Saccharomyces cerevisiae S288C: one gene and its partners. The gene in region 3 interacts genetically with the main gene of each other region. Each region holds a gene or a part of one and is shown on either strand. Other genes may lie near its edges. The genes, in order: TCO89, LST4, TOR1 and VAC8.

Evidence for each region.
Region 1: mutations in TOR1 (region 3) and TCO89 together harm fitness more than expected from each alone (negative genetic interaction), as found in Saccharomyces cerevisiae (4 studies listed by BioGRID, with this or other methods).
Region 2: mutations in TOR1 (region 3) and LST4 together harm fitness more than expected from each alone (negative genetic interaction), as found in Saccharomyces cerevisiae (4 studies listed by BioGRID, with this or other methods).
Region 4: mutations in TOR1 (region 3) and VAC8 together harm fitness more than expected from each alone (negative genetic interaction), as found in Saccharomyces cerevisiae (6 studies listed by BioGRID, with this or other methods).

What each region holds. Positions count from the first base shown.
Region 1 is NC_001148.4:202,095-209,922, reverse strand, and holds TCO89 (Tco89p), read right to left. Parts: upstream 4,676-7,828; coding exon 2,276-4,675; downstream 1-2,275. Other genes in the region: PPQ1 (protein-serine/threonine phosphatase), read right to left, coding at 117-1,766; CTI6 (Cti6p), read right to left, coding at 4,982-6,502; tRNA (34-2'-O)-methyltransferase regulator RTT10, read left to right, coding at 7,387-7,828. UniProt on the Saccharomyces cerevisiae protein: Component of TORC1, which regulates multiple cellular processes to control cell growth in response to environmental signals. Nutrient limitation and environmental stress signals cause inactivation of TORC1.
Region 2 is NC_001143.9:113,125-121,440, forward strand, and holds LST4 (Lst4p), read right to left. Parts: upstream 4,863-8,316; coding exon 2,376-4,862; downstream 1-2,375. Other genes in the region: STE3 (Ste3p), read right to left, coding at 91-1,503; Zn(2+) transporter ZRT3, read left to right, coding at 5,669-7,180; TPO5 (Tpo5p), read right to left, coding at 7,256-8,316. UniProt on the Saccharomyces cerevisiae protein: Involved in extracellular amino acid uptake. Required for the trafficking of the GAP1 nitrogen-regulated general amino acid permease from the Golgi to the plasma membrane.
Region 3 is NC_001142.9:555,848-566,913, reverse strand, and holds TOR1 (phosphatidylinositol kinase-related protein kinase TOR1), read right to left. Parts: upstream 7,499-11,066; coding exon 86-7,498; downstream 1-85. Other genes in the region: ARP3 (actin-related protein 3), read left to right, coding at 7,756-9,105; chaperonin-containing T-complex subunit CCT5, read right to left, coding at 9,312-11,000.
Region 4 is NC_001137.3:127,022-132,667, reverse strand, and holds VAC8 (protein anchor VAC8), read right to left. Parts: upstream 3,844-5,646; coding exon 2,107-3,843; downstream 1-2,106. Other genes in the region: E2 ubiquitin-conjugating protein UBC8, read right to left, coding at 117-768, 892-896; YEL014C (uncharacterized protein), read left to right, coding at 4,060-4,365; EDC3 (Edc3p), read right to left, coding at 4,384-5,646. UniProt on the Saccharomyces cerevisiae protein: Functions in both vacuole inheritance and protein targeting from the cytoplasm to vacuole (cvt). Involved in the formation of nucleus-vacuole junctions (NVJs) during piecemeal microautophagy of the nucleus (PMN).

The DNA of each region.
Region 1 (7,828 bases), on a different chromosome or scaffold from region 3:
AAATAAAATGAAAAATAAAATGAAAAAAACAAATCATAGGACAAAAAGTTTCCAAATGAAGGATAAGAGGCCTAAAAACCAATGTGCTTTCCAGGCAAAACCAATCTTAGCAACAGCTACACTTTGGTTTTGTATAACTTCTTTTTATTTTTCAATGCACGCGGCTTTAACAGTTCAAAGCTACACATCATACCCGTTGTAACGCTCATTACTGCCCCCCAATTATGAAATTCTCCACAATAATTTGGTGCTGAAAAGATTGTGACAAACTTTTTCCTGGCAAAGAATTCATAACCATCTTCTACGACCATATGTCCCCTAAGTATTAAATCGAATTTAAACTTAGCACAAAAATCAAGAACGTTCCTCTTAGAAAATGTGTATGAAACACCACGATCATTTTCTGACCAATCAGTTACTTGAGGGTCTGGGTCACTCCACAGTAAGTCTGTAACCAGCCCGCTTTCAGGAATATCCGTTGGTCTTGCGACTTTTTCGATTTGCTTCATGTCATGTAAATCGGGCGATATACCTCCATGAACGCAAAAGATCTTATCTTGAATAATTGCTGCTAATGGCAAAGTATTAAATACGTCAACGAACATTTTCCATACTTTCGAGCTCAATCGCCTTTTGCATTCATCATAGAAACCGTACATCTTTGTGACATTAGCAGATTCGTGATTACCCCTTAACATAAAAAAGTTGTCTTTGTACTTTATTTTGTAACATAATAACAATAGTATTGTTTCCAATGAGTTCTTACCACGGTCCACATAATCACCCAAGAACAGATAATTAGTATCAGATGGCACACCAGACAACTTCAAAATTCTCAATAAATCATTAAATTGTCCATGAACATCACCGACAACTTTGATAGGCGCTTGTAATCTCAAAAGAGTAGGTTGATTCAAAAAAATTTCTCTTGCATGATAGCAAATGAGTTGAATTTCCCAAGAATGGAATGGAAAGTTCTTTTTTTTGGACGTTTTTGTAATTTCTCTTGACTCACCCACTTGTAGTAATTTTTCGATCGCAACATCGATATCAAGACCTTCATTTGAAGAGGTATCATGAGAATACCGTCTCAAAAATATAGGCTTCTTGCTACTTTTAGGATTAGGTATCCCAGATGTTGGGGACGAAGGCGCACCAAAAGAACCTGCCTTAACCGAAGATGAAGGAGACTTAACTCTGGACGATAACCCTGAAGATTTTAAAAATGATGAGGTTGATGAGGAAGCAGACGTAGCGGATGAGTAGTAGGAGGAAAAAGAATATGAGGATGGAGAAGAATAATTTGATTCACGATAAGAGGGTGATGTCAGGATATTATTTGAGGTAGTGGCAGTGGTAGTAGAGGAAGTTCTTGCGGTATTGATCAGCTTCGGAGCAGTTGCTGATGAGGATAGGGCTTTAGCGACAGAAACATCGATATCTAGGTACAAGCTCTTCAAGTTTTCATCCTTAGTGTATATTTTCTGTTTATGGGCATTCTCACCAGGAATGAGCAAATTATCATTGCTAGCTCGTTTATTGTTGTTGTTTTTCCCGGCCGATGCTAAAGTGTTGTAATTGTTTATAGAATGTTTATTATTGAATTTCTTGATAGTAGGTAGAGACCTACTATCATCTGGGTCATTAGGTTCGTTACTGTTGAGATCATCTGAAGGTGTAGTTAATTGTTGCTGACTAGAGTTTGAATTAGTTGAGCAATTCGGTACTGCAAAGTTATTATTTGATCTGGACGGGCTTCTTCTCATAAATAGAATATAAGTGAAGGGAAAACAATATCTAACTTGAAAGGAAAATGGACTAAAGTAATAAAATAGGTTTTTTGTAAGGACAAGCTTGTAAATGAAACGTCAGAGACTCGGTAAAACAAGATTAATTTGAATGTAGTGATTCTGACCGATAGTATTTATAGTCCGTGAGGAATACTTACCAAAAAATTGCTAAAAGAATAGACACGTTTAAGGTATATTTACTAATGCCATTTTTTAAGAGATACGGAATCCAGCGAAATCGCTAAATTTGCGGTGGTTGCATTCAACGTTTTTCTTTCTTTTTGTTCGATAATTTATCATTTATTACGTTAACCGGGTTATACAAATACGCCTCGTTAGCTCGTATAGAAGTACATGTCCTTTTATAGTGCATAAACATAGTATGTTCCTTAAGTGTCCAAACATATTCGCTCTCTACGAACTTCGCGTTTTACCTCGAAAGCATTAGCTACTCTTTTAAACTGTGTGCTTCGTGTTGGTTGTTTTCACCTTTGTTGTGGCTGTGTATGCATGTAGCCCACATTTTCCATCCTGCGATTCACTGCCCTCGTAGTCGGCTGCAGAGAGTTAATGACGCGTTGGTGGTGCAAAGTCGTGCTGGAACCCATCGGGCCCCTCAGCAAGTTACGTGCATTCTGTGAAGCAGTGTGGCCAACGCTGTGGTTTGTACTCGTTGTCCTATTCTTGTTGATTGGATTAACATCCTTGTTAAATAAGTAACTTTCGCTTTTCCATATACCGGACAACACTGCCTGAATCTTTGCACTTGCAAGATGTGGATAAAGATCATCAAATTTTTTGTCATAGTTAGTAAAGAGCAAATCGTCCTCATCCTTATGATCTGTATCACTGCTAGAATGTGCGATTGACTGAGCATCGTTATGGCTTTTTTTCCTGATATTATTTGCATTTCCCGTTATTATAGGTTGTACTCTCAACAATGCTTCATCTAATGGGTTGTAAAATCTTTTTACATTAGAGTATTCATGGGATATTCTCTCAAACTCCCTTTTCGCATCAATGTTTCCTGCCATAAAGATAGAGTCACTACCGTCATTTTGTGAACTTAAGTCCATAATAGAATTCTCCCTCTGCAACCATAATTTTCTTTGTGTTCTTGATTCTGCATCAATCCCATCTGATTTAAGGAACTGGGCGAAGCTATTAAATTTGGCACCTGAGTTGGATTGTCTGTTTGCATCGCTACCGGAGTTCGTACTAGATGTAATATGTTCGTTGGACAATGGAGAGGCCGGGGCTGCAGAATTTTTGTTGAGATCGTTGGATCTCAGAAGTAGATTCTGATTACCTTTCTTGTGAAAAATATTATTCATTCTTGAACCATGGAAGCTTTCAGGAGCAGCTCTCCTCAAATTATTGGTTAAACTCGATATGGAGGTCGAAAAGTTGTGCTGTGGTACATTATTATCTTTACTACCGATGTTAGCAATGGTGGGGAAAGTAGACTGAGAGTTCGGTATATTTTGGCCAAGTTGAGATCTTCCACCATTTTTCTTGCTCTTGCGCAATTTGCCATCATCCAGTTCATTAAAAGTATCACCTGAAGCCATATGCTCACCCGAGTCATGAATTTCATTCCCAAGCGAATTTTGGATGGATGATGAATTTTCAAATCTACGTTCAACTCCAGTCGACTGGGAGAGAATCATATTAGGCGCATAATTTTCCAGTAAGCTATGCCCTTCAATATCCTTGGTACCAGCGGAAGAAATATCATCAGGCTTGATTAGATCTTCTTCTTCGTTTAATAATTTGTGTTGTTTAGAACTTTGTCTCCTAAGAGACATAAAGCTCGAGTCGCTTTTTCTTGATGAATTACTCCTAGGGGCATCAATGTGATCTTCCTGATCAAACTGTTCATCTGAATGACTTGGTTTTTGATTACTTTTATGTGCAGCTAAGGTATTACCAACATCAAGAATTTTTTTTTCTTTATCATATGGTGCTTCTGATATATTATCGCCCGCTTTAACCAATGAGGCCCTCAAATTTTGAGAATGGCTGGACAAGTCATCAATATCAGCTTCCTTCGTCACCTTTGATTGCCCCTCTTCATTGATTACACTTGTTGCATTCAGTTTTGTTTCAATTGAGCTTGGAGATGTTTCTCCATCTTTCTGATGTTCTATAGAATGGCTTGATTCTCCGAAATAGTTATTGGAAGATAAATGAGGTAATGGTAAGGATACAGCTCTATGATTTTCCTTTCCATCAGTACCTGATTTATCTTCTTCTTGTTCATCTATTGAATCCGGGGATTGTAATTCATTCTGATTTAATTGCTGCACATTCTTTTTTTCTTCAGGCATAACATGCTCGGCTATTACTTTATCATTATTCACCTTTCCATCTTCAATGTTGTCTTCCGAAAAACATTCCACCTCCTCGTCAGTAGTAGATTCACTCTTTTTAGATTCTTGCGCATCTCGAAGACTCAGAACAGATTGGGTACTTTTACTTCTTCGTGGTTTCAGGCCGAAACCAGCAGTTCCAGTATTAGAATGACTGCTGTTCTTTGGACTGAGCAGCGTATTATGCACCGGACTATGAAAGGATGCTGATCTTTTTCCTTGATTGGACTTTACTCTTGTTAAAGCTGTCATATTCAACCCACTAATCGTTCGCTTTCTGAAAAGTGCATCAGAACTCTTGCATTTCTGAGAAACGTTGTGCTTATTAAAATAATCATTATCCAGGGTGCCATCATGTGTTAAAACTCTACGCAAACCTTTGAAGCTTGCGTTACTCTTTGCTCTCGACCTAGTCGAAAACTGTCTAAATGGCTTTGACTGGTGTGATACTGTTGACGCATTAAGAGATGTTACATCAGTGTCTGACTTCAAAGTCCTTCCTCGATGAACCATAATTATAGTTACTCAGTAAGGATATATGATATATCCCAATATCTATGTTTACCTGACCCGTAAATCGATAGAATGTGCTAGTCCATTAGATGTTTGGATTCCTTAATCATCGTGCCAGCCAAATCGCTATACCATCCGCAACTAGCTATCCTTGCGGTTACCCGTACAAGAGTAAGCTCGGTTGATAAAAACAACGTTGAATTAGTCGTTTTTATATCCATATAGATGTATATATATGTATAGATGTGTTTGTTCGCCTCATTACAGTTATACTTTGGTTGAGAATAATATTGCAGTGTTTTGCGTTTATTGAATGGCATTAGTGTTATTTGAATATTTTTTCTCCCATAGTAGTAACTCTCTAGTCAGGTCGTCCATCATTGATAGACTTTCATTATAACCGTTGTAAATCGTATCAACTTTTTCTACGAAATGCTGGTTTTCCACGAATCGTACAAATTCCTCTCGATCAGACTGATCTTCACTCAATTCCCATTGAGTTCTAGAAATGAACTCCAAAATAGCGGATACCCTTCTTCTCATTTCGTTTAATGAGGTCCTTTGAGGGGGTAATCTGGGCTTTACTGGTTTGTCGGTACCTATATCAGCACTCCTTCTATTTTGGTTGGTGTCTGAACTTGTATTGCTTCGACGAGTTCTGTTGCCCTTTCTTGCTGGTTTGGAAACTCTTTTAGAACCCCTCGAACTAGCTTTCCTTGAATCATCCTCAGAAGAAGATATTGAGGTTAGGGGTAGGATGGGTTCATCAGTTTTCTCAGTGTCTTGCGCCGAACCCGTAGAAGATTCCTTTTCTTGACTAGCTTCTTTTTCCACATCATTTGTTTTTTCCATTGATTGCTCTTTCGATGGTCGTAGGCTTTCTTTCATATCATCATTTGTTACCGAGTCCGGTTTGCCTTCCGTTAGCATAACATCCGTTTGTAATCGAGTGGTGCCGTTGTGATTGTCGGTATCACCTTGGTATATATCAGCATCATTTTCATAACTTTCAGGATCTTCTTGATGTGATGTCCTCCTGCTTTCTTTCAAGGCTTTTTCAAGCATTCTTTGATATTGCTTTTCTTCTCTTGCCATGAAAGTTGCCCTTTTTCTATCCAGTAGCTTCTTATCACTATCTCCAGGATCCAGTGAATACTGATCGGTAGAAGCATCATCCATTGAATTCCTCCTCCTCCTTCTACTTGACCTCGTGTTGCCGTCCTTGGCTAATGCTACAGCCGAAGCTTCATCTTCTACTTCATCTTCTTCGTCGCCGATATCGTCGACGTTATCATCGGTATTGCTGGTATTTCTGGGACTTTTCTCTGCTTCATTGGCGGCATGAGATTTACTTGCAGCTGCACTTCGTGCCTTCCTTCTTGATTGCCTCCTTTTCTCTTGCACAGGTTTATAGATTGACCTTGCTTCGCCAGTATCTGTGGTAAAGAGCTGATGTAACTCCGGTCTGCATTGCTCGCACCAATATTTATCAGGTGCGTTGTCTTGAGTAATACTCACACAATAACCGTGCTGCCAGGAACTGCACTGCTCACATTGAATGAAAAATCCGGAGTCATCTGGAGTATCGAGCTCTCCACAGATACAGCGAGTTTCGCCTTCCTCTTCCTCGACTTCCCCCTCTCCACCTTCCATAGGAACATCTTCTTGTTTTACACTTTCTTCCTGTACACTTCCAATCGCCGCCGTTGTTGTCGCTGTTGATGTTGTTGATATAATGTCTGTGGACCCACTAGCAATGACTTCCGCTTTCTCCATATCTTCACTACCCACAACAGGGCCTTTAGGCACTATTGCTGTCGATTCCATTACTCTTCTCTATACTCCTATATGTTTATGCTATCTTTTAGTAAGGTTACGCAAAGTAAACTTCGAAGGAAACAAACTATTGATGGTCTCTGTTGTGAACTTTGTACCCCTGTAAATACCCAGTTACATAAAATTCATATACGAAAACCAACAAGAACAAAAAAGAAAAAACTAATCAACAAAACGTTATTTTTTGATCATGCAGTGAAAAGCCACCAATAGAAAATTGAAAATAGAAAATGCAGCTGATTGTGCTGTGCGGTTTACCTAGTTTACCCATAGCGGAGAAATTTTTCAAAACTAATTGATTACGTTAAAGCCTGTCTGCGACGTGCTCCGTCCTATTTCCGCAAGATGATGAGGGTAATGCCCTTTATAACTGCTCAAAATAAAAAATAACCGCCGAGGTCTTTTTAATTATCAAGGTTATAAGAAGTGCCAGAAGTGGGTGAACTTAACTCAATAAAAAAATATTAGTGACGAACATCTATCAAAAATTGAAAATTGAAGGTACTGCTCAGAGAAACTGAGTCTGGTCTTGCCTACATCTTTAAGAGGAATTTGTTCTGGTGTATTATTTATACAGCCGATAACATTGATGATACTCTCAGGGTCATTTTCACGTAGTCGTGCTTTGGTGAGTTGTATACTACCCTACGTACTTTTCACCGCTTATGTTTTACACTGGGGTCTGAATGATAGATTTAAGCCTAGCATACACATCGGCGTCTCACAAAAAACGACGCTGCTGAAAAAAAAAATGTAAGAAAAAAAAAGTGGAAAAATATGAGCATGAAAAAACTTCTGCTAGCGGACCTCATCGTTATTTAGCTTCTCATTCCCGCCAATTGAAGTTGCTCATTGAAGAAGAATAAGTGATTAAAATGAAGGACTTGTCTCATTATGGTCCTGCGCTATGTGTTAAATTTTACAATGATTATGTTCTAGCTGGTTATGGGCCTTTCATCCATGTCTATGACTATCATTCGGCTACGTTGATTAACAAATGTAGGCTATTTCACTACAATAAAGTTCATGGACTTAGCCTTTCTAGTGAAGGGAAAATTTTGGCCTATGGTGCAAGATCAGTAACAATAGTGGAACTTGAAGACGTTTTAAAGAAAGAGTCATTGGTGGATTTCGAAAGGATTAACTCAGATTGGATTACCGGTGCTACATTCAGCTTTGACAACTTGCAAATATATTTGTTAACATGTTATAATAAAGTGCTAATTTGTGATTTAAATTGTGAAGTTCTTTTTAGGAAGTCTCTTGGGGGAGAAAGATCTATTCTATATTCCGGTATAATTAAAGTTTTCGGTCCGG
Region 2 (8,316 bases), on a different chromosome or scaffold from region 3:
GCCACAATTCACTAAAAAGCAGTATTTCAATCCTAGTCCTGTAAAAATAAAATACTCCTAGTCCAGTAAATATAATGCGACACTCTTGTGTTAAGGGCCTGCAGTATTTTCTGAACTATGTTCGTTTGAGCTTGAATTCTCTTCTTTTGAAGCTGGAGAGTAGCAAAGACTTTCCCCTTCAAAATTGGAGCTTGCAGAATTATGAAGCTTTTCTGAATAATCGAGAGTAACTTTTGAGAATCCTCCAAGTGATATTTCGTCGTCAAAGCTCTGTCCTTGCGTGACGTAAGGGATGTGCCTACTTTCTTTTAGGTCTATTTCATCAAGAATATCATCTGTTTCTTTATCAGCAAACAAATATTTTTTGCTTTTATTTTGAGATTTTCTAGGATCATCTGGAATCCTATAGTCGACATAGAAATGCGCTTGTGATATTGGTGTACCTACACAGGGAGAATAGTTTTCTGTACACGTGGAGATATAGTTCTCAGAGTCTGTAGAAAATGGGTTACGGCTCTCTTTGCGTGAGGACAGCTTGTTTAGCAATATGCCTACTCGTTTTTCCTTATTCTTATCAATGAATCTTTTCCACATGTCAAGTACAAATCCTAGTTTGATGGAACGCAGGAATTTAGAGTACATATGCAAAGCATCAGAACCTAAGCCAAAGATTAGAAATACTAGGTAAGACATCAAAACATAAAGCCATATATTATAAATTGGTCTGCCAGGGTCAAATTTAATAATGGTATTCCAGATGGTGCTGGAATGGGTATTTTTAAAAGTATAGTGTCCTTCTACCTGCTGTAAATCTTGAACAAAGGTGTAAACAGAAAAAGGGAACATGACTAAAATAATAATGAAACAGAATATCAACAGCCTTGCGAACCTTGTCAGGTTTAAACCTGAATTGGTACAGTGTAAAATATCCCTAACGTCCTTGCGTTTTTTATAAAACACGAACAGTACTAAGGTGGCATAAACAGCGCCCACAAATGACCATATAAGCATCCACATGGTATACAAAACAGTGGTAATCCATGTCGGAGACAATAAGTTTTGGCAACCGTTGTAACGAGCGATACCATATCTAAATACTTGTAACAGATATGAAAATCCCATGACCATGACAGGTGTGAACAAGCTAATCACAAGGTCCTTGACGATTTTCGTCCATGATGAAAGATCCGGTAAAACACTATCTGCCTTCAAAATTGTATGCAAGTTGTAAATGATGTTGGTAACGGCACATGATATGCCAATATTCGCACCAACCTGCAACTTGATGACAATATCACACCAACCTTTACCATCCCATCTCGTGAGGAAATCGTCGTCACTCCATATTGCCGCATCTACAATACACGTTAAATTCATTGTAAGAAGCCATGTTATCAAAATGATTGCTGGAATATTCTTGGTATGTGAATGCCATGCTAAAGGGGGAGCTAATAGTATCACAGCTAGCAAACAAAGCCCTATTATTGCTGACTTGTATGACATGAAAATTTTGATAGTATTTTGCCTTTCCTACACAAATTTAATTGCCTCTAAAGTTAAAAAGCAATAAAATAGAATATGTGAATACTGCACAAAATGAATACTTGGGAATTCAGAAATTATTCTTACCTTAAGCATCCACTCATATACATATATATATATATATATGTCTTTTCAAAAGACTTCTGCCCAAATTGTGGAGAGAACTCTGCCTCTCCGTGATAACGGCCAAATGAAACGCATCCAATGATGCAATTATTGACAAAGTTTCAAAGTTTCCGCCATTATTCCTTCATTTACACATTGATAGTCGAGAAGTTTCCTAATTAGTGTCACAATGACAGAGAAAATTGTACCAGCGCTTCTAACGAAAATTAGCACCCATACCCAGAGTTCATAAATCTGGCAATGTGGTACAATAATATAGGATTGGTAACATTTCAATTGTAAAATGTTTAACGTTTAGAGAAAAGGGGAGCCAGAACGCTTCTGGTGGTGTAAATACGGAGAAGTCACCTTAAATAGTTTTGTTCTGATAATTGCATTTTTTTGGAAAGATTTGGCTGCTTAAAAGATTCAAGCAATCAAGAGAAACATTACAAGGCCTGCTTGGCCGGTCTACTAGGCTGAAATAATAAGTTTCTGATTATGGTTATCACGGTAAATGATTACGAAAGGGTAAAGCAACGAATGGTTGTTTTATGGTAAGAATACTTTGGCGAATCAACAAATTGAAGTTGCGCAATGTGCGATTCGCTTATGTATCAAAAAAAACTAAAAAATGAATAGAGAAAATCATATATATAAAAGAAAAAAATATCGTACACCTCTTAGGTAACTTGGAATATATTAAACATGTAAAGAAGGAGAAAACATTAACCTGCATTACAATAATGAACAAGAGATGAAAAAATCCGTAAAGCTTCTGAATCGCGAAGCTCACTATCTATTCCATTATCATCATATAACATCATTGCACTCTTTATACTATTTTCAACAAAATTAACGCAGTTTTCCAAACTAGTACTTAGCTTGCCAATCTTGCCACAGGAAAAGATTTTTCTGGTCTTCTGTTTCAACACGTACTTCCTTTTTCCGACAAAATTCTCATCATAGATATTCTGGTTGCTGTTATTGTTGTTATTGCCAGTAAACTCTCTTTTCAATGCGACATCCCTAATGTCCCTTGAACGTAACGATACTAATAGACTTCTTGTGTAATCCGCCTTTAACAGGTCAATCTTCATAGAATTTGTTATTCTGCTCTCTGATTCTTGACCAGCAGGACATGCTTGCAACTGGAAAAAATTGTTAAAATGGGTTAAATACATTGTATATTTCGGCAATAGTTCCAGAGGTTTATTCATCAAGCCATCATCAATATCAGAATCAGTAGTCAAAATATCCGCATAAGAAGAGTTACCTGGAAAAATTTCGTAAGTGGAATTAAGGTCAGCCAAAGAGGGCTGACATATTCTTTCAAAAGCCTCATCCAAAAGATCATCCTGAGAGATCCTTTGGCAATCTCTTTTCAACTCAACGTTCTTTAGTGGAAATTTATATGATATATTCTTAACCAATGGGGGTGCGTGAGACACATCTCCAACATTAGGAGAGCCAGGTGTGCCCATCCAAGGATACTCATCATATTCGCTGATAGACGGTGATTGTTGCGGAGTGGTTAGTGATAACCTGGAGGTTGCTTGCTGCAAAGAAGACGAACTTGAAGTCCTTTGCATATTTCCAGCAGTTGTTTGCAGCCTCTCCCACGACTCGTTGTGTTTTAAAGAAGGGCTTGGTTGAAAGAACTGAGAAATTGTTGGCCTTTTGTTGAACCAAGAACCGTACGAACCAGGTTGGCTTGAGATAGAAGACGATAGATAATGCAATGAACTACTCCCACTTTTGAAGGAAGATGGCTGAATAACTTCCGCTAAAGACTCACTAGAAGACACAGATACTGAAGTGTTCGAGTTCCTCCGATTGGGTATTTGCCATCCTTTCCTCAAAGAATGGAAATTGGGTGATCCAATGCTGTTAGAGCTCACATTACTGTTGTTGTAATTATGATTGCTATTATTTTCTGTGCGACTCAAAAGGTTGTCTGTTGAAGTCAGTGTGCTCAATTCCGTCTCAGGCTTATCGACAAAATTATTGTTAGACTTATTTCTTGATACAGCGGACGAATCCGATCTTATGTTTTCCCGCCGTATCGTTATTTGTCCCTTGTACTTTGGCTCCAATAAAGCCGATAAGATGAACAGTAACTTGTTAGCAACCACCATGTTTCCTGACAGGATTACGATCTTGGATGTCTTTAGTTCTCTTATAGTGTGCCTGTAATCAGATATAATCATTGCCATTAGGAGAGGAAGGAAGCCTAGTTTCGGTCCATCTTTGATTTCAATCCAATTAAATATACTTTTGAACCAAACGTGAACGAATTCTTTAAATGTCTCAGGGTAAAGGAAAAGCCTAGGAATCTCAGACATAGAACGTAAACCTGGTATGACTCTTTTTTGTAAAGTTTGCACCATTATTTCAATTTCCTTGGGATAATGCGTCCTGATGTCAATATTTGACAATTTTATGACTGAATTATTGCTGTAATTGCCAGTATTTTCTTGCATAATACGGTTTTTAGTCAAGAAACCAATGAGCATTTTTTGAGTCTGGGTCAACCATGATGAAATGGAAGACCACGACTCTGCAACTACGGGCAACAATATCCTCGGTATGCATAAGCTAATTGCGATGCGGTTGTATTGGTGTGTGTAATAGAAAATTCTAGTTATGAGTACCAAATCCGAGTTAGGAATCGTCCTTATCTTGTCGCACTGCGTCAAATCGGAAGATCTTACGGGAGAACCAAATATATATTCCTTCAATTCACTCGGCCGTATCTGCTCCATCGAATTTGAAATCTTTGACGTAGTGTAATCGAAGATATCACGGTAGTTGTTCCTACACGCCATTTGACCCGCTTCCTCAATGATCAAAATCCTGAATGCATACGTTTTTTCGTTAATAGACGTGATTTTATCAGTACCAAGACCTCCGTTGTTTTGTAACGTATCGATAGGACGACTATAAGGAATATCCCTCGAGCCGAAAAGCTTCAGTTTTAAGTCATCCGATATATGATCTAAAATGGGCGGAGAAGTCGTTGATAGCATTTCCGAAGGCTTTTCCACATTGACTGCAGTATCTAAAAGAGCTCCAGCAGCGGTCTTAGTAGTTCCTGTGCTTGCCGCTTTGCAGTATACAGGGACATTGGGAACTACGGAGGAAAAATCGGAATGCTCTGAGCTCTTCTCAAAACCAGACGAACTCGTCTTATTTCTCAGTAAATTACCCAACATATAAACTCTCCCTCTTCACCTTCTCTACAAGGCCACACACAAGACAGTTTTAACAGGCAAATGGTACTGGAGGCTCTCACCAATGGGGTTTAAGACGCTCCAAACACACGCTCTCCTTTTTTTCTTTATATATCGGTAGCAACGAAAGCTAGTCGCAGAACGTTACACACTAAAGCAGATCAATCAATCAATCCTGAGAACCTGCTTCGTTCAAACCATCCACTAGAAGAAACACGCACGTGTACCCAAAAATAGAGACAAACAAACAGACAAAAATAACAATGATTCCTACCGACTAAAGTAAAACAACACTCACGTAATAAAAAATCCTAGATACAACTCACTTGTATTCCTCTCTTCTTTGACCATCACTAAAGCTTCTCTCTTACTATATTCCTCAAATAAAAAAAAGTTGCAATGATTACTTACCAATGTGCCATAAACTCCGTGCACCACACTAGCCTTCGATTTGACACATCTCTAAGCTGAAACTGAGAATACTGTTGTAAAACAGGTATTGGCTGCTTCATAGTACACCCAATTGCCCACAACCCAAGTTAATCATAAGCTCTTGTTGTCGATGAATTGCTCAAAATGTGGCCATTCTTTCAATTTTGCACCTCTAAAACTGCTCCGTGGGTTGTGACAACAACCTTAAGGGTAATGGACTTTTTTAGAAAGACAAATGAGATGATTTCACCTACTGGTATATCATTTATTTATACACGACCGTTTTGACATTTCAGAGTTGCACGTTGGTATATCCTAATATTCTCACAAGCATCACAGTGAAGAAACGCAAGAAAATGGAAAAAATTCCCAGGTGGTTGTTGTTTTCTCTTATATCGTCGGTGCTGTGCATACTTGGGGCCCTGTGTGTGCCGTTGTTATCGGTTGCCTTCGATAGCAAGCGCAATAGCCAATCTAAGTTGGTCAACTATGGTCTTTCTCTAAGTGCCGGATCTATGATCACTACTTCACTATACATGCTATTGCCTCGGATCGAAAAATCAAACCGGTTCAAGGTTTTTCCTGGATTGCTTTTGGGTATTTGCCTCAGTTTTTTCTTAAACTACCTAGTCCACGCTTTCGCCAGCGAATCGTTGGTACACTGTGCTGATAGCGGTGACCATGCTACAGGTTCACATATACACTCCAAATCACATTCGCATTCGCACTCACACTCACATGCGGATTCGCATTCGAATTTTAGCAACGATCATGATTTAGAAAATGCTCCCTCTGAGCATGGTTATGCAACATCTTCTTCCAGTGTTTCTGAAAATGACCCGTTGATTACAAAGGATAGCGATAGACCCCAAATGAAAAAGAAAATGTCCCTAATTGACTTATTAACCAGAAGGAAATCAGAAGGCGAGTGTTGTGACCTAAACAAGTGCACTCCGCTCTTGCAATCAGAGCAGCCAGAATATATTGCATGTGTCCCACCAGTGATAAAGTCTTCTCAAAGTGAAAGAAACGTGCCACATGGATGCGAGGGATCAGAAGATAATGGACAATCCGATGACAAGGATCATCGTGGCCTTGTATGCGTGGAAAATAATATCGGTTACGATCTTGAAAACCTATCGTTGTACCGTAAGAATTTTCTTTCGAGCCGCCATCATCATTCCTCTGAATCGCCCGAAAATTATGGTTCCAACCAGTTGTCGCACTCTTTTTCGTCACCTTTGGGAAATGATGTAACTGAGAATCCGGCCGCATTGGCAGACACACAATACCATCCCGAAAATGGTTCATTATACCCCCACCATCATCACTTAGAGACCCCTTTTTCCAAATTACTGTCTATTGGTATGCAAACTTGTCTAGTCCTTGCATTACACAAATTTCCCGAAGGGTTTATTATTTTTTACACTAACAGGTCAGATTCGTCAAAGTCCTTGGGATTTTCCATTTTTTTAAGTTTGACGATCCATAATTTTGTCGAAGGATTTGCAATGACGTTACCATTCTACACTGTTTTCGAATCTAAATGGGTTGCCATTTTGATTACTGCCGTTCTCGGTGGTGGATCTCAACCATTAGGTGCATTGATAGGTTATTTCATCTTTAAAGGTAGTACTCCAAGGGATCACGAACCCAACATGGATTTTTTACTGAGCGTTACTGCAGGGTTCCTATTAGTAATTGGTTTACAAATGTTCCAAACTGGTATCGGATTTAGCGATGGACATCATCATCATCAAGGAGAAGGTGATGAAGAAATGAAACAGTCCCATAGCTCAGGCACAACTTGCTTGAAATGGTGCTGCACTGGCGTTTTGCTAATTCTAGCGAGTGCCCTTTTCACTTGATAAATTAAAACTACGTATATTCTTTCTATATAAGTCTTTTCCCATTAAATAACGGTGTATAATCACGATCATATATCATATATCATATCTACGATCATCGGCAAGATCAAATTCTTGTTCTGCTGTATGGTGCTCATCACCATAATCGGTTATCACGTTTTCCTCATTTTCCTCAAAGGGATTTTCTGTACTACTTTTAGGATGCACCTTGATGAAACCTTCTTCAGAATTATTTTCTACAGACTCTTTCACTGTGGTTCCCGAGTTTAGAGTATGTTCAACATTGCTATCCTCTAGTTCAAAAACAGTTTCTTCCGCATCACTGGGAATTGGAGCCTTGATGTCATCTGCCAAGGGTAATCTAAAATTATACTTCCCCCATTTGAAATAAAGACCAGTGATAACTAAAATGCAGAATACGTACACCATTAAAGCATAATTCATTGTTTTGAAAGTTACAGGCACTTGCGTTGGTAGGCAAACAGAAACCATAGATAACAAGAGCCACACAATAGAAACAATGTTGATGAACCAACCAAACTTATACCTGATTTTTACTGGCGCGCTTCGGATAGCTCTTCTTCTCGTAAACAGCACCAAGACTAACGGAATGAAAGTCGCAGAACAAAGACAGAGCACTGCAGCGCCTATAAAAGCATTAAATGCGGCCGTTGAAATCAAAGCTAGCAGACCTAAAAAGTATGATATTATCATACTCAATACAACAGAATTCTTGGGGACTTTTGACTGAGAATCCGGTTCGACGTAGGTCCATTTATCGTAGTATGGTATAGCCTGGTCACGACTAAAACTATATACCGCACGAGAAGATGTAGTAATCGAGCCAATTCCGGAAAACAGTAAGTTTCCTAAAATTAGGAGCACTAAAAAAAAAGACAAGACCACCGAATCAGTCGATTTTGTAAAAATGTTCACTATTGGTAGAACCTTATGATTGGTAAAAAGCAAATCATTATCTGGCAGGATTAACATTATTGGTATAAGAAAAATGACTCCAGAGAACGCGGATAACAATACCGCATTCGACATACCACGTGGAATATCCTTCTCAGGAACTTTGACTTCGTCAGCTAAAGCAGGTAACATACTGAAACCTTGTAACGTGAAATTAGACT
Region 3 (11,066 bases):
ACACAATACTTGCACACGTATACAAATGCGTAATACAAAAAAAATAAATAGTAAACAAAGCACGAAATGAAAAATGACACCGCAGTCACCAGAATGGGCACCATCCAATATAATGTTGACATAACCTTTCAATAGAAGTGGCTTGTTGGATCAGTTTATCAACCTGCTCAGGGACGTCTAATTCATTGAACCTCTTGATATCATTGCCCGTTAATTTATCTGTAATACGTCTCAAAACAAGCATTGCTCTGGCGTTTTTGGTCTCATTTTGTTGTTCTGCTTCCATATTTGCCGCTTCTTCGACAGTAATTGCCCCCTTCCTTAATAATTCACTAGGATTAATCAACGGCAAAGGAATTCCAGTTTGCTCAGTAAGTTTTTGTGGCGGTAAATCAAATCCCCAATGGATCAAAGGATCAAGCGCAAAAGCTTCCAAGATCGCCATTAATGATTCTTTATTATCTCTTAAGACTCTCATGACATTTTCACAAGTAATTCGGAAACTGCCTTCAATTCCACTAACTTCCATTGCGTATGTTAACATCCTAGTTAGTCTAAATGGCACTTTTTCTGGATACTTTTCTCTTAAGATGGCAGCTTCAAAACAATCGCCGAAATCAATGTGGATAACTTTACCGGTGATTCTATCTAGCATCAGGTTGCTTGGATGGCGATCACCTAGTCCCAGAATATAACCAGTCATGGACATAACTGCTAAAGATCTCGTATAAGTTGTTCTACGTTCTAGCCATGTCTCTGACGACCTACTCTTTAACCATAATATTTTATAAAGGTCTTGGCCTTTTGTATTATCTAAAGCGTACGTGAATACTTCAATTTTTTGTAAAAGAGTCAAATTCTCATAATCGGGGGCCATTTGTAACATAACCCAATGTTCAATGTTCAACGGAATTTTTTTGGCATCACGGTGTTCTCTGATCAAAACGTGGAATGTGTCACTATTTGGTACCCATCCTAGTAAACCAGATTTAGGCGACAATGGAATAGCCGGGTATTGTTGGATATCCAAATGTCTCTTGAAACACTCTGAATCATTCTTCAACAAAGTGTTAACTAGACCAAATAATTGCATAACAAGGCTATCTTGTCTTATATCTTCATGTCCCTTTAAAACGTATTTATAATCTTTACCGTCGCTACCCTTGATGGAGAATTTTCTTGGCCTTTGCTTCGAAGAGATCACAGAAAATAATGGCTCAAACTTCGCTATTCTAATGGTAGGTTTTCCTGGGAAATATGTCCCAGGAACAGCCAATTCGAGATCATGAGTAGCCAGAAGCTGGGGAGAAACATGCTGTAAGTCTAAGGTTTGTAACTGTGGTATTTGACGTGTTATTTTTCTGAAGACGTTATAATAAATATCCCAAGCTTGGTTCAAATTATTGATGTCTTTTGACTTTTTGTAGTTATTCAACCATTCGTAGGCATCGTTCAAATCTCTACCAAATGATTTCTGAAACGATACCTCACTTAACGTTTGAGGCTCATTGCCTAAGTGTTTATGTAAAGGTTCTAAAGTAGAAAACATTTTTTCTATGTTATGTTCAACGAAAAATTGGCGGCTCGCATCTTCCAGTCCTTCATACCATAATTCGTGCCATAGAACGGCTACTCTGATCAACTCGTGACTAACTAATTCTGCCTGGTTTACCAGGACTGGACTATGAATCCTAATTTTCTCTATTATTGAAAGAGCCGCTTTTTGTCTTGAAACAGATTCAGACTTGATCGCGACAGTTAAAGGATACACGAGAGCTTGTGGATGAGCTTTCCCTAAATCAGAAAGCAACGACAAAAGGGAATTACTCACCGTAGGATCTGGCTGATGTATACGAGAGATCAACTGTGGTAAGACTTCAAGCCAGTTCTCTATTTTCATCAAATTGAAGCCTTCATACATGGCTTGTGAGACTTCTTTAATACCACCAAAGTTAAATAAAAGAGTCAATAACCTCAACGTGTCTTGCAAACAACTTGTTTCTAATAGAGATATTGAATGAAAAAAGCCCTTGATCGCTGGAACAACATGTCTTTGAATAAGCTCTAGCGGGTATCTGTTGCCATTAATAGTCAAAGAACCACTTCCTAGGATACTACCGTCAATCCGCACATTATCATTATTAACTGCCGTGTCATCATCATCATCATTCTTACCTCCGTTGAGCTTAGTCTCTTCCTGAACCATGGATATTACTTCAAAATTAGCTAAGGCCCAATTATGCCATGCCTTGTACCAATTTTTATCGAAATGTGTAGCCAATAGATAAGAACCAAGAATTGCATCCGGATTTGTGTTTCTCCAGTTCGGTTGTGTTGCTATTCTCCACTCACCTTGCTTTAAAAAACATCGAGCTAATAATTTTGTGTATTCCTCAACATACGGAGCAGTACTTGCACTTGAGAGTTTGACACTTTGCGCGATCATATTATTCGGATCCAAACCAAGATCATGCGCTAACCTGGATGTAAATCCTATCAAGTGGTTTAATGCTTCTTTATAAGCTCCTGTAGCCCAAATATATTTTAGTTGCGCGTAAACAACTGGGGGAGGAGCTTTGAACGTATTTGGTAAACTAGGATCGTTGCCTCCTTCTAGTAGCATATTCAATGCCTTATTTGCTAGCCTCATTCTACCAGATTTTCTGCACAAATTTGCAAATTTTATCCATATTTGCAGGTCTTGCTTGGGCTTTATTACCAATGATCTTACTCTAAGCACTCTTTGCCATAAATCGACATTTTTTTGGCAGCCCAGCAGTCTTTTTGTCCAAAGATTTTGATAGTGAAGTTTTTTCTCGGAATTAGGTGGCAATTGTTTATACTTGATGATTTCCTCAAACTCTGTTATTATTTGAGTTCTAACAATAACGCTATATGCTCTATTATAACTTTCATTGATCAACGCGGAAATTTCAGTCACAAGCAAATCTCTGGCGTTTAATATATGCTTACTAGCATTGTCGTAATCATTCTTGTGCAAGTATAAAATTGCATCAAAAAATTCCTTATCTGGAGATTTAGGTTTCATAACGCTGATATATTGCTCAAGCATATCCCACTCTCCCAACCCCCACGCAGCACCAGCTGCCAAGGGAGCTATTAGCTTCTTAGTTTGTAGCTTCGAAACTTTCCACTTTCTAGCTGCCAATTGCGACAACTGTTCCCATTCGCCAAGGGCATGAAGGGATCTCATCTTACCGAGTGTAACGCTCACGGAAGTATCACCTGCCTTTTCACGTTCATTATAAGCATGTAGTGCATCTTCCCAACGCTCTAATTTTTCAAACCATGTCTCCTTTAATTGAAGTGAATGATGTTGTTGGGCATGCTTTAATATACCAATTGCAGCATCCGTTTGATTCAGCTGGTTGTTAATGCTGATCAATGATTCAATAGTTGAGTTCTCAGGCTCTTTAATAAATTTAATCTCTTTATAATGTAGCGCTTTGGCATAGGCGTGACATCTTTCAGCATACTCGCCCAGGCTTTGAGTTGGTATTGGTAATGCCTTGTCATCGTGTTCCATAAATTCTACCAGGTTTAACAATGTTTGATGTATTTCTGGTGGATTTAAGGGAGAAGATAAGGCTATACATAATGACCCAATTAAATCTTCTTGATATTGGCTATAAAGTTCGGTCCAAACACATGCGAATGCGGTATTAAAAAGTTCTTTGGCTAGTGGATAATACATGCTTGCAAGATTTGAACAAGCTCTTAGAGCATGGGAGGGTGACTCTTTTAATAATTGAATGGATAGACGTTTGCTCCATTCCTGCCAATCTTCTTTAGTTCTTTGTTGGCTAGAATTCCATGCACTTTTCAAAACTGATTGGTTTATAGGTAATTTTGCGACCCCAGCATCTGCTGCCTCCATTTGTTCCGCGGGCTTATAATCCGTTGTATTTGCTTCAAGAATTTTTGTGGGTAAAACATCATTGTTTAATATTCTGTTTGTCAAGTCATCATATATTGTGTGTTGAATATGTTTCTTCATTAAAACTTCATTAATGACAGGGATGAAGATAGCAAAGGATGTGCCCATTTGTATTAGCAGTAGACTTAAAGTATTCATAATGACTTTTGAGAGTTCGTCACTCGTTGTTGAACTTAGTACCCTAAGTAAAGAGTGAACAATTCTTGAGGACATCTCAAAAAGGTCAACATCCTTGGCCAGTTTGCCAATAGTAATTATTGCAGACCTTTGTAGGTTCCCGCTGGTGAATTCTGCCATTTGAACTATCTTGGGTGTAATCAAATGCGAATAACCTTCTAAGTTAGGACCAAACGATTCTAACAGTCTCAATACCCTTCTGGAGAGGACCTTGTCACTAGACTTGTCATTCTCCAAAATTACAAGGAACAAGGTCAGAGTAAGAGGGACCAATCTTTTGAATTCACCCTCCAGAGCCTTTGATATTGCTTCAATAACACTTACAAGCGTTATTTGTAGCTTAGCAACCGAAGAAAAATCTTTGATAGCCTGGAATATAGAATCGACATGAGGTCTTATGTGTTGCCTTACGATAATAATCAAAGAGCAAAGCTGTTGGAAGTAAAATTCTAATAGTGACTGAGAGCATGTACGCATTACGTCCAAAATAGTTGGGATGATCTGGTCCAAGAATGAAACACATTTTAGACCAAGGGTTTGAAAAATATGCATAATCGCTTGGATCACGGCAGTGTGGTAAGATGATAGGGATGGATCTTTTAGGATTTTTAGCAGGCAGTGAATGACAACAGTGGTATAATACTCATCATTCGAAGGAGACATGCCCTGCATGAGAAGAGCAATGTCGATAGGCGGGGCGTTCTGTTCTGTAGATATATCGGTAGTAGAGGTAACCTCACGTTCTTTTTGGCGATATGGGTCGATAGCTCCCAGTATACCTATCAAAGTGACTGTTTGTCTCCTAATATTTTGAGAGTTTTCTGTCTTCAATATATTCACCAATATACCCAATAATTCGGGATAGTCGAGTAAAGGATCTATCACGTAACCAGATGAGGCTGCAAGTTGACCAAGGGCCTTAAGTGCAGCTTCTCTCTTGAAAGAGTTTGATTGATCCTGAAATGTTTTGATAATTAAAGGAAACAAATCCTTAAGATATATCTTCATATCTTCGCCCCCTACAACAGATAGCTCACCTATAGTTCTCAGTGCAGTTGATGCAACCGTTGAAGAGGTATCTTGGAATTTTGGTAAAAGAACATTTAAAAGAGGTTCGATATAAGGTTTCGCAACATCTTTACTCGACCTGATAAGAGTACATAACAAACTGGCAGTTTCTTCCTTTTCTCGAGAAGAAGTTGAGAATTTTAATTTTGTTAGCAGTTCCAGTAGTATTTTTCTTATCGATGGGATGACGTATGCAGGGTTTACGGAAGACAACCTACCGACAAGCTCCATTGCTACTGACTGAATATTGAACGACTCATCGTGCAGTGCAGTAAACAAGAGTCTCAAATTATCTGGTTGTGCCAACTGGGGATCGAAACATGGATTAAGATTCTTTAAAACTTCTAAACGGATATCTTGTAAAGGGTCCGCAATCGTAATGGCTAGAAGCTTTGATAACACTTCAGATACAGTGTTCAGAGAGTGTAGTGATGTTTGTTTGCAGATGTTATCCTTGACGTAAATTTCACAAGATGTCAACGCAGCTAGTTTCCTTACTCTGGGATCTGTATGCTCAATGTAAGAAAGTGCAACAATTCTCACGAATTCCACCAACGAAAATCTGCTTTTGATATTTTTTAACATTCTAAAAGCTTGTATAATGATTTTTATATCATTATTATCATCGTTACTTTCACCAGTTTTCTGTAGGATGTTTTTATTTCTCCATTCTCTTGCTCTTTCTCTCGAAAACGATGGTATCTCCATTGGTGACCCTGGCTGGATAAATGGTGTTCCAGATAAGGTTGAACAGACTAGGTTAAGCAACTCGTCATTTATTTTGGGGCCTAGTGATGGTATTCTCTCAGTCAGAATTTGAAACGTTTCCTGCATATAGTCGGAAAGAGGGCATTTGAACATCAGGTCCAGTATATTTCTGTTTAATAATTTACCTAGAACGGGGCCCAAGGGAACTGCCAATCTTCCGATGCAGTAGAAAATTTCATTTTCAAATTTCTTTCTGAATTTGAATTTCGTCTGTAAATCATGTTCAATATAATCAAGAATTTGTTTCACATAAGGTGCGATATCGGGCCCGACTTCATATGCAATATCACCAATCGATATTAAAATCTGTGGTTTGTCATCTTTGAGATGTGGTATTTTATTTGCTGGAGCATTGGTTAAAATCTCTAAATAGTTGTCCATAATTTGGTGCAAATATTTGCCAGCAAATAATTGAGGATTGAACGATGCTAATAGGGGAACAATCTGGTAAATCTTTTCTCTAATCATTTTCGCTTTATGATTTTCATAAGCTATGCAATTTAGACACATTTGGTCGAACACTTGATTCAAAAAGGGATCCTTCAAAAACAAGATTTCCTTATAAACCAACAAACTTGCATGGATGCATTCTAATGTGTTTACTTGAAATCCGTATTCACAACTTGTAGCCAATCTCTGCACCCACTGGCTAGTTAACTGAGGATCCCTATTTCGTAGGGTGGAAAGACATTTGGCCAATGTAATGGACGCATCAATTCTGATCACCAAATGTGGGTCTCTTAGTGCTCTCCAAATGTTATCTAGTATGGAATTCAAGTATTGGTAGAGTAAATAAGGACAATTCTCTGCCAACGCTGTTATAATCAGAAGCGCAGCATGTTTAGCATGGTCTGGCTTCGAACTCGAGAATGAATTCTTTTCCGTGGAGGCAGTAAGCCATTCTAAGCAAGACTTTATCTCAAATTCCACGAAATCAGAGGTATATGTACCTCCTGGAACGGCTAACTTGCCCAGAGTCTTTGCAGCGAGTCTCATGACCTCTACATCATTAGAAGGTATTAGCCCTCGAAGGTAACCAGCCAGTCGTGAAGTTTCGTTAGGCAACCTTTCAGTATATGCGTAGAATGAAATCAAAGTGTCTATGGATAGAACAGCCCCTACCCTAGTGCTCGTTTTTTTTGTATGGACCAGCTCCAAAATCTTATTGTTTATGTCATTTGAAACTGCTTGGAACTCTTCTATCGACAATTCATGTTCCAAGGATACTAGTAGATCAAATAATGAAATACTGGCCAATTTTCGTTCCTCCTTGTAATCACTGGTTAATTCGCGGAAAATTTTCTCCAAAATGGGCTTAAAATTTACATCCCCATTACTGCCAATCACCACTCCATCAAACCTACTAGAAGTCAGACCGAATTCATCCCCGTTCCTGCTCGCATTCATTTTCATGTTCATATTCACATTCAGATTCGGTGCCAACGGCACATTTCTATCCATGTCCATATCGTTGTTAGCCGCTTTCAAAAGTTTACTCTTCCAAATCTGCTCCTCATGCGGTTCCATATCAATGCAAACCTGCTAGCCGGTTGATGTATGTTTCACTTTACCAATGACTCTCTCGTGAAGCTACTATGGCTCTTTTTTAACGTAAGCTCAAGAAGACCCTTCGATAAGGACTTTCAGTAGTCACCCGGCTGTCCGCGGCTTCAAAATGGCGAGAACCCCTTTTCAAAAGTTTCAAACAAAAATATATGAGAGTAGTTTAATCAAGAATTGGCCCTACCGTAAGGCCTCACGATTGAGCAAGAAATTAGGATTCAATGTCATACTTAAACAATCCCGCTGTTGTCATGGACAATGGTACCGGGCTGACCAAGCTCGGTTTCGCCGGTAATGATTCTCCCTCCTGGGTCTTCCCTACTGCAATAGCCACAGCTGCACCTTCAAATACAAAGAAGTCCTCGGGCGTTGGTGCGCCCTCAGCAGTTAGTAATGAAGCATCATACTTTGGAAATTCCACCTCTGCAACCAATTTCAATGGTGCAACAGGTGGTTTGCTGTCTAATAATTTATCCGGTAAAAGAGGTACAGAAGATTTGGATTTCTATATTGGAAATGAGGCTTTAGTAGCATCCCAAGGACCCTCTTACTCTTTGAGCTATCCAATCAGACACGGTCAAGTGGAAAATTGGGATCACATGGAAAGATTCTGGGAAAATTCCATCTTCAAGTATTTAAGAACAGAGCCTGAAGATCATTTTTTCCTATTGACCGAACCACCACTGAATCCTCCAGAAAACAGAGAGCAAGTGGCGGAGATTTTTTTTGAATCATTTAATTGTGCTGGTCTATATATTGCTGTGCAAGCAGTTTTGGCTCTGGCTGCGTCATGGACCTCTTCAAAAGTCACGGATAGATCATTAACTGGTACTGTTATAGATTCTGGTGATGGTGTCACCCACGTCATCCCAGTGGCGGAAGGTTACGTCATTGGCTCAGCAATTAAAAACATTCCAATAGCCGGTAGAGACATCACATTGTTCATCCAATCCTTGCTAAGAGAACGTGGTGAAGCAGACACTTCCTTGAGAACTGCCGAAAAGATTAAGCAAGAATACTGTTACGTCTGTCCAGATATTGTAAAGGAGTTTAACAAATTCGATAAAGATCCTTCTAAATTTGCCCAATTTGTGGTGGAAAACCAAGAAAAGACAAGGAGAAAAGTCGTAGATATTGGTTACGAAAGATTCTTAGCACCTGAAATCTTCTTCAATCCAGAAATTGCATCCTCAGACTTCTTGACTCCTTTACCCACGGTAGTGGATCAAACTATCCAGGCTTGCCCTATTGACGTCCGTAAAGGTTTATACAACAATATTGTACTATCAGGTGGGTCTACCATGTTCAAAGATTTTGGACGTCGTTTACAAAGAGATCTAAAGTCTATCGTAAATAACAGAATCGCACAAAGTGAGCTGTTAAGTGGAACTAAATCGACTGGTGTAGATGTTTCCGTGATTTCTCATCGGAAGCAGAGAAACGCTGTCTGGTTTGGTGGCTCGCTGCTGGCACAAACAGCCGAATTCAAAGGCTACTGTCACACTAAGAAAGATTATGAGGAATATGGTCCGGAAATTGTTAGAAATTTCAGCCTTTTCAACATGGTTTGATTATTGAGTCATGACTCATCTTATAAGGAAAAAGGTACAAAAACAAATGCAAATAACTGAAACGCCCCTCACTTCATTTAAATATACGTATACAACTGATTATATACACGTATATGTACAATCAAGTAACCCCAAATGCTGATCTGAGAAAAAAAATTGTGGGATATGTGATTAAAACTTATCTTTTATTATTTATTTATACAAAATCAATACTCATCTTTACCACTAATGATGACGTTATCAATCTTTAAAATCATTCTACATAATTGAGTAGCTAAAAGAATTTGCTGCTTTTTGCCAATAAATGGATCAACGACAAATAGTTCCTTCATGTCATTAGACCCGTAACCTAAGCAATCGACACCAATGTTGGAAATCTTTTCTTTCAGTTGTTTACTTTTCAATGTAGACAAAGTTCCGATTGGATCAAGACCAGAATTTTCAGCCAAAGTCATTGGAATGGTGTCTAACGCTTGGGCGAATCCACGGAATGCATACTGATCAATACCACGTTGCTTATCAGCTTCCTCAGAGACAGCCAGGGACATAGTCACTTCGGCTGCTCCCCCACCGTAAACTACACGTGAGTCTTTAACCAAGTTACGTACCACACATAGTGAGTCATGCAATGCACGTTCAGCTTCATCCACGATCATTTTATTGGAACCGCGAACAAAACATGTTACAGTTTTTGTTTCTTTACTTTGCTCGATAATCAGCATACGATCCTTAGTAGTACCAAACTCCTGCTCGTAAATTCTGGAACATGTACCTAATTTATCCTTAGACAAGTCTTGAAATCTTGGAACAATGCGACCGTTTGTGGAAATGGCAATGTGTTCTAGTTCTTGGCCACCTACCCATCTTACGGCAGGTAAATCATTCTGTAGAAGTAGATGATTGGCCTCATCGTCAAACCCCCATTGGCATATAACAACATCTGCGCCCGCTTTCTTCACATCGTCTATCATTTCTTTGAACTTATCTTGTTCATAAGTCTGTAATTTTTGGTATTCTTCTACTGAAGAAATGTCTAATTTATGCTTGGTCTTTGGTTTAGGAGGTTCAAATGGACACGTTAATATAGCTAACTTAACACCATCAGAGCCCTCTTTTGGTAAAACACATTTAGGCATTTGTGGATGAGAAAAATCTTTATCCAAAATGACACCATTAATCAATTTTGAATCGCTTATAGATCCGCCAACCCGTCCTTGCATTTTGATTAAATCGAAATCCACGTCTTTACGATCTTTGTCCATGACATTTATGACGGCTTCCACAGCCATTTCAGCAAATCTATCATGATCCTTGGAAACAATTTTGGAGCCCAAAGAAGTTTTGGCGGCCCTCAATAAAAAGTCCCTGAACAATTCATCGTTTGACGCAGAAATGTCGTCACATGTTTCTTCTAACTTGGAAATGGCTAATTTGGCGGCTTCATCAAATCCATTAGCGATTTTGATTGGATGTATACCCTTTTGAATTAACTCCAATGCTTGGTCAAGTAGCGCACTTGCCAGAACAACAACACCAGTAGTACCATCACCAATTTCATCATCTTGAGATTTGGAAAGTTGTACTAACAACTTTGCAATCTCATTATCTAGCTCCATTTGGGACAAAATTGTAGCACCATCGTTAGTGATGGTGATTTCACCGTCAGGTGAAATCAAGATCTTATCTAACCCACGGGGACCCAACGAAGTTTTGATAATAGAAGCTACTGATCTAGCAGCCAATATATGTGATTTCTTGGCCTCTAATCCGTGCTGTCTCTTCTTGTTACCTTGATCCTTCACGATAATAAAGGGTCTACCCATCTCGTCTTGTGCCACAATGGCGTTCGACAGATCCGGCATTTCCATAGGAGGTTGTTGTGGACGAGCAGCCATTTTCAAATATTGCTATAAAAATGGATGATAGCTGTTATTACTTTGAGTTTGTAGCTCTTTATCACG
Region 4 (5,646 bases), on a different chromosome or scaffold from region 3:
TGTAGTTGCTTGATAGTTGTTTGTAATTATAGTCGTACGTGTGGTATAGTATGCCATCATATATACTTATACATACATACATATATATATATATATATATATGTGTGTGCTCGAAATTATTGATTTGCGACTTCGTCGTAGTCATCGTCATCACTGACATCTATGTCACTTAGATCCTCGCTTAACTCATCTACGCTATCATCGCCACTGGAAACACCAGTGCCATCCATATCTTCATCAGAATCACTGTCCTCTTCTTGTAAATCACCGCCGCTATCACTGTCATCGCTATCATTATCTCCGCCAAACATTTGTTGGTACTTTTCCTTTGTAGCATACTTGTCTATATACTCTTTGATTTTTTCCTCATACAGTTTTTTATCTCGTAATTGCAATGTGGCAGCTTCGTTATTCAAGGGATCGCTACCATTAGGCTCCTTTAATAAACCTGGTATCATCCACTCCACTATATTTATCAGATCATATAAAGGCGACCATGTAGAGTTAATTACGTCCAAACATATGGACCCCGATGCGATATCAATGTTAGGATGGAATATCTTGTTAACGAACCCTATGCTTGGCGACTTGTATGGGTAATTATCCGGCAACTCTACATGTAACCTCCAAACCCCATTTTCGTAGGGTGTATCCTTTGGTCCCAAGAACTTTACATGAAACTCTTGCATGCTATCATTGATTAAATCCACTTGATGATCACTCATCAACAGTTTCATAACATCTGTCTCGATCCTTCTTTTAGAGCTACTGTTTCATTAAACGATATCTTTGAAGTTCATTGACATTTTCTTTGTTAGTGATCCTCATTCTATGGCATACTTTCTCAGAAGAGTGATATATAAATATACGTATATATCTTATCAAACATACCTCATCTTTCGTATTACGCTCCTTTCTTCCAATATTCCTTATGAAATACTATTAATATTTTGCTCTTACTTCTAAATTATATTCGAAAACTATCTCGCTTGATAATTACGGATTACACTATTTATCAAATGTGGCAGAACTGGAAATCCTACCTATGCTTTACGTTAGTGATACTTAAGCGCAGATAGCTGTTTCCGGTGCTCACCCTTTTTTTTTTTAATTCCACTGCTCCGGGAGCATTACCCGGTGGACGAAGCTCAACCTACTATTATTAAATAAGAAAACGTAAGAATGTATATTTACGCAGATGTGCACACGAGCATTGAAACAAGGATTAATGTGCCACTGATAGAATTCAGACTGCTGTGTGATTAAGAGGAAAACAAATTATCGTGAAGAATCGTTGATTCGCCTTTATATATTCTTGTATTCTTTAAGAGACATGCATTGCGATAATTTCCCCATGATATTCTTAACCTTATGAAGGGTCAGTCTACTGGAAGGTGCATGAAATATGAGTGAACGTATTTTCATTAGCAGATGAGAGACACCGGGATTAAAAAAACTATGTGAAGAATAGTGTTGATATATGATAAAATTATTGTGGAAATCAATAATTAAGAGGTTTTATAGTGTAGTGGTTATCACTTTCGGTTTTGATCCGAACAACCCCGGTTCGAATCCGGGTAAGACCTATTTTTTTCCCCCGCTCAGCTAACTTGTATTTTTAATAGATCTCCCACCATCAGAGGACGAAGAGAGAACTGTATTATCAATTGTGTTTTATTACAATATATTCTAAAAACGAAGATATAGATGTTATCTAGAATTGGTTTTTGTATGTAGCCCTTCTCTCCCGCTTTCTCACTTTTTGAACATTACCTCACTACAGTTGCCATTCAACAATGTAACGAACATTATCCGTAGGTAAAATTTACGACACTTCAAACTTCTAGAAGGAAATAGGCATATACTACGGAACAAAGACAGCCTCTTATTCGTTTTTAAGTTTTTTCTTCTTTTATTAACAAAAAAAAAAATAAAATAAAAAAAATCAATTGAAATTAGAATAGAGTAGAGTAGGTAGAAGTAATATGATGTAAAAAAAGGAAACAAAGATTAAAAAGATGGAAGAAATGGAGAGAAAGAAAATAAAACTTCTGAGAAGAAAATTTTGATAAAAATTATAATGCCTAGTCCCGCTTTTGAAGAAAATCAATGTAAAAATTGTAAAATCTGTTGAGTAATATTATACAATTCCAAACTTGCATCCTCTACAGGTTGATGTTCAGATCCTGTGTCATTGTTATTACTGTTGTTATCATTCGAGCTTGGATTGTTGTTGCTCCCCGGATTTTTAACATCAATTCCTGATCTTTGTAAACGCTCAAAGGTCACATCTGCCATTTTTCTCACTCCGTTAATGATGTCGTCATCATTTTTAACCAAATCTTCCACTTTATCATTATGACTTTCTAGCAATTGTAAAATTGTCCATAGCGCAATGTGTTCAAAGGTAGCATAGTCACTTTTCAAAAATCTAATCAGAAATCCACGAATGCCTTCATTCGGACGATCCCATGCTTCAATAATTTTTGTATAATTATTCACTCTTGAACATAGATTTGCCAAAGCAGCAGCAGCATTACCAGAAACTTCTTGGTTCTGGGAAAAAGTCATAGGGATTAAAGCATCTAAGATATTTGCTTCCAGTAGATCCAATTTGGAGACATCTGCTAGGGCTAAAATAGCAAAACATGCGGAAATTTCACTTTGAACACTAACAGGTGAATCTAGAGCCAGTTCCTTACATTTTTCGACAGCACCACTTTCGAAGAACTCTTTTCTGTTTTTTTCAGATGATGCAGCCAAATTTCTCAAAGTAGATACGGCGTGACATTGAATTTCTTCTGAATCCTTATAGTCCAACAATCTTACTAATGGTTTTAAGAAACCTGCATCAACAATTAAACCTTCATTTAGAGGGTGAATAGAAATGTTTCTAATGCATGCCACACTAGCCAAAACCAGTGGTATAGAATCACTTTGAATCAACTTTACCAAATGAGGCAACCCACCAGCCCTTACAATTTCTAATTGGTAGCTTGTATCGGACGCTAGGTTTCGTAAAGCCAAAGTAGCTTGACATTTTACCCTTGAAGATGGAGAATCCATCAGACTAACCAATTTGGAAACCAATCTTGGCTCAGTTTGAGCCAACTTCTTGCGATTGGCTTCATCCACTGCTATATTTGATAAAGCAGTAGTACAATAGTACTGAACATCAGGATCGGTGGACGACAGTAAAGATACCAATACAGGCACAGCACCTGCATTAACCAATTCTTTTCTATTTTCCTCAGAATGTGTCATATTTAATAATGCACCTGTAGCATTTCTCTGAACTCTTATATGTTTGGATTTAGCTAGCTTAGTCAATGGAATTAAAGCACCAGAAGTAGCAATCTTATGTTTATTGTCATCCCTTGTGGCTAAATTGGTAATGCATCCAACAGCATTACATTGAACTTCTACATTGTCACCCATCATTTGGTTTATTAATGGCTCTAAGCCTCCCATTTCCACAATTAATAATTTATTTTCATTATTAACGGCCAAATTACCCAAGGCTGCACAAGCGGCCACTTGAATCTGTGGATCTTGGCTTTGTAATAATATTAAGATGGGTTCCAGTACCTCTCTAGAGACCTGACGGACGTATTTTTCAGTAATTTCTGCGAATGCCAGAGCGGCGCTCCTTTGCAAATTTAGATTATCTGAATACACCAAAGTAGTTAGGGCCTTTAGTGGACCACCAGAGTAAAAGTCTAATTGGTCTTTATCCTCCAAATACCCTAGTAATAAAGTCACCGCTTCTCTTTCATTATCGGCAATTGGTGAGACACTGGCCTCGTCTGAAGAATCTTTCAAGCAACTACAACATGAACCCATAGTTGCAAATGTATATATAGTACAGAAGAAAGAACACCCTTATAGTTTGCTCAGTTCCTGTCTTCGTAGGATTGGAAATTGGCTAATTGCTTTTTATAGGGTTGTATAAATATATAATACCTTATTTTAACAACAAAAGGAAAAGTAGGAGATTGAACAGCGAGTCAACAAAAAAAAACAGAAAGCAAAGCAGACTCACACAAAAATTTGATCACAATGACAGCACTATTCTGCCTTGAATTGAGAACTAATATATTTCTAATAATGAATGATTGTATTATTATCAATTACTGGAAAGGGTTCATTTTTTCTTTCCACTCGTATTTTTTTCCTTTTCGTTTTGAGTCCTCCTTAAGGGCTCATTACCCGGGAAAGAGAAATTATTCAGATTTTTCTGTTATACCGTTACCTTATTATATAGATGTTCGCAGTTTTCATATTTGTGAGAGCCAACACATTATTGCATTACCGCTACAGATCCCACTTCCTTACCGTATGCTTATACGTATGTATCCAGTTTAGGCTAAAGTAATTCTTGGTTTACAAATCTAATAGCAGGGACCCGTCAGTGACGAAAAGATCACAGTTTTGGAACTTACGCAAAGAAGTTCTCTGTGAATAGGCGCCCTGTGGTATACCTATATCAATCAAAACAGCATCTTCTAGACTTGGCAAATTTGCAATTAAGTTGTTGATGGCAATCAAAGGCCAGCCAGAACAAATAATTCCTGTTGCTTCAATCCTGTCTGAAAAGAAAATATCTGGCATGCCGGATCCCGCATCAAACCCATTTGGAATATCCAAAGACCACACTTTAGTAGATCCTCGCTGTTTGTTACACCATGATATCATGCTTTTAATTCTGCTTTCAATAACTTCCGACGTCCCCGCCAGATCGCTCAATGTACAGTCATATCCCTGCATGGCATCGATGACTATTTCTACAGGGCTATTTAATGTTTCCATAGCAGATTCCAGCGACGATACACTATTAACAATTTTTCCGCCACACTTCTTGTAAATATCTGTTTGCTTTTTGACCATGGAATCCTGTAGTTCATTTTGAGAACATGTAAATAATGTTATGACACGGATATGCCCCGTTTGGCAAAGATGTCTACCCAACGCCAGAGCTTTCGCACCAGATCTGTTGGAATCTGAGGCTAGTATTACTACTAAAGGTTCCGGATTAGAATTTTGTAAACGTAAACGTGCACGGCCACCTAGTTTCTGCTTTAAGAAGAACGATGCGTTTACAGCAAAATTTTCTAGTAGCCCTGCCGAGTTAATACTGAAAAATTCGGACGTGATGCTCTCCATTTCTAGTAGTTGTACTGGTGTAGCCATAGGAATGTTCTGCTTAGTGTTCTTTGATCTGATGGTTGTTTGTTTATTTGCAGCTGGCAAGGATGTTGAGTTGGATCTTGACTGGCTGATGATCATCTGGCCTAATTTAGCTAGTACCTGATCCTTATCATTTATAACTGTACCTTTCGTTTTATCATTTATGGATGGAGAGTTAGTTGCAGAGTGAATTAAATGTGTAATATTCAAAGACTGAGTTATTGGTAGGTATTTGGGATCATCGATATCATCGACATCGTATTCATGTTCATCATCTTCCAAAACCAGATCATCTTGAGCATCTTGTTGCGGCTGAGATTGGTGTGTGCTTTGCTCATTTCTTGAAGAAATCTTGTTCCATGAATCTTTCTTTGCATCTGGAATAACCAATTCATCATTTTGATAATTATTTTGCTGCAATTGGGTTTGCTTTCTGTTATGTCCCTGTAATCTATTCTC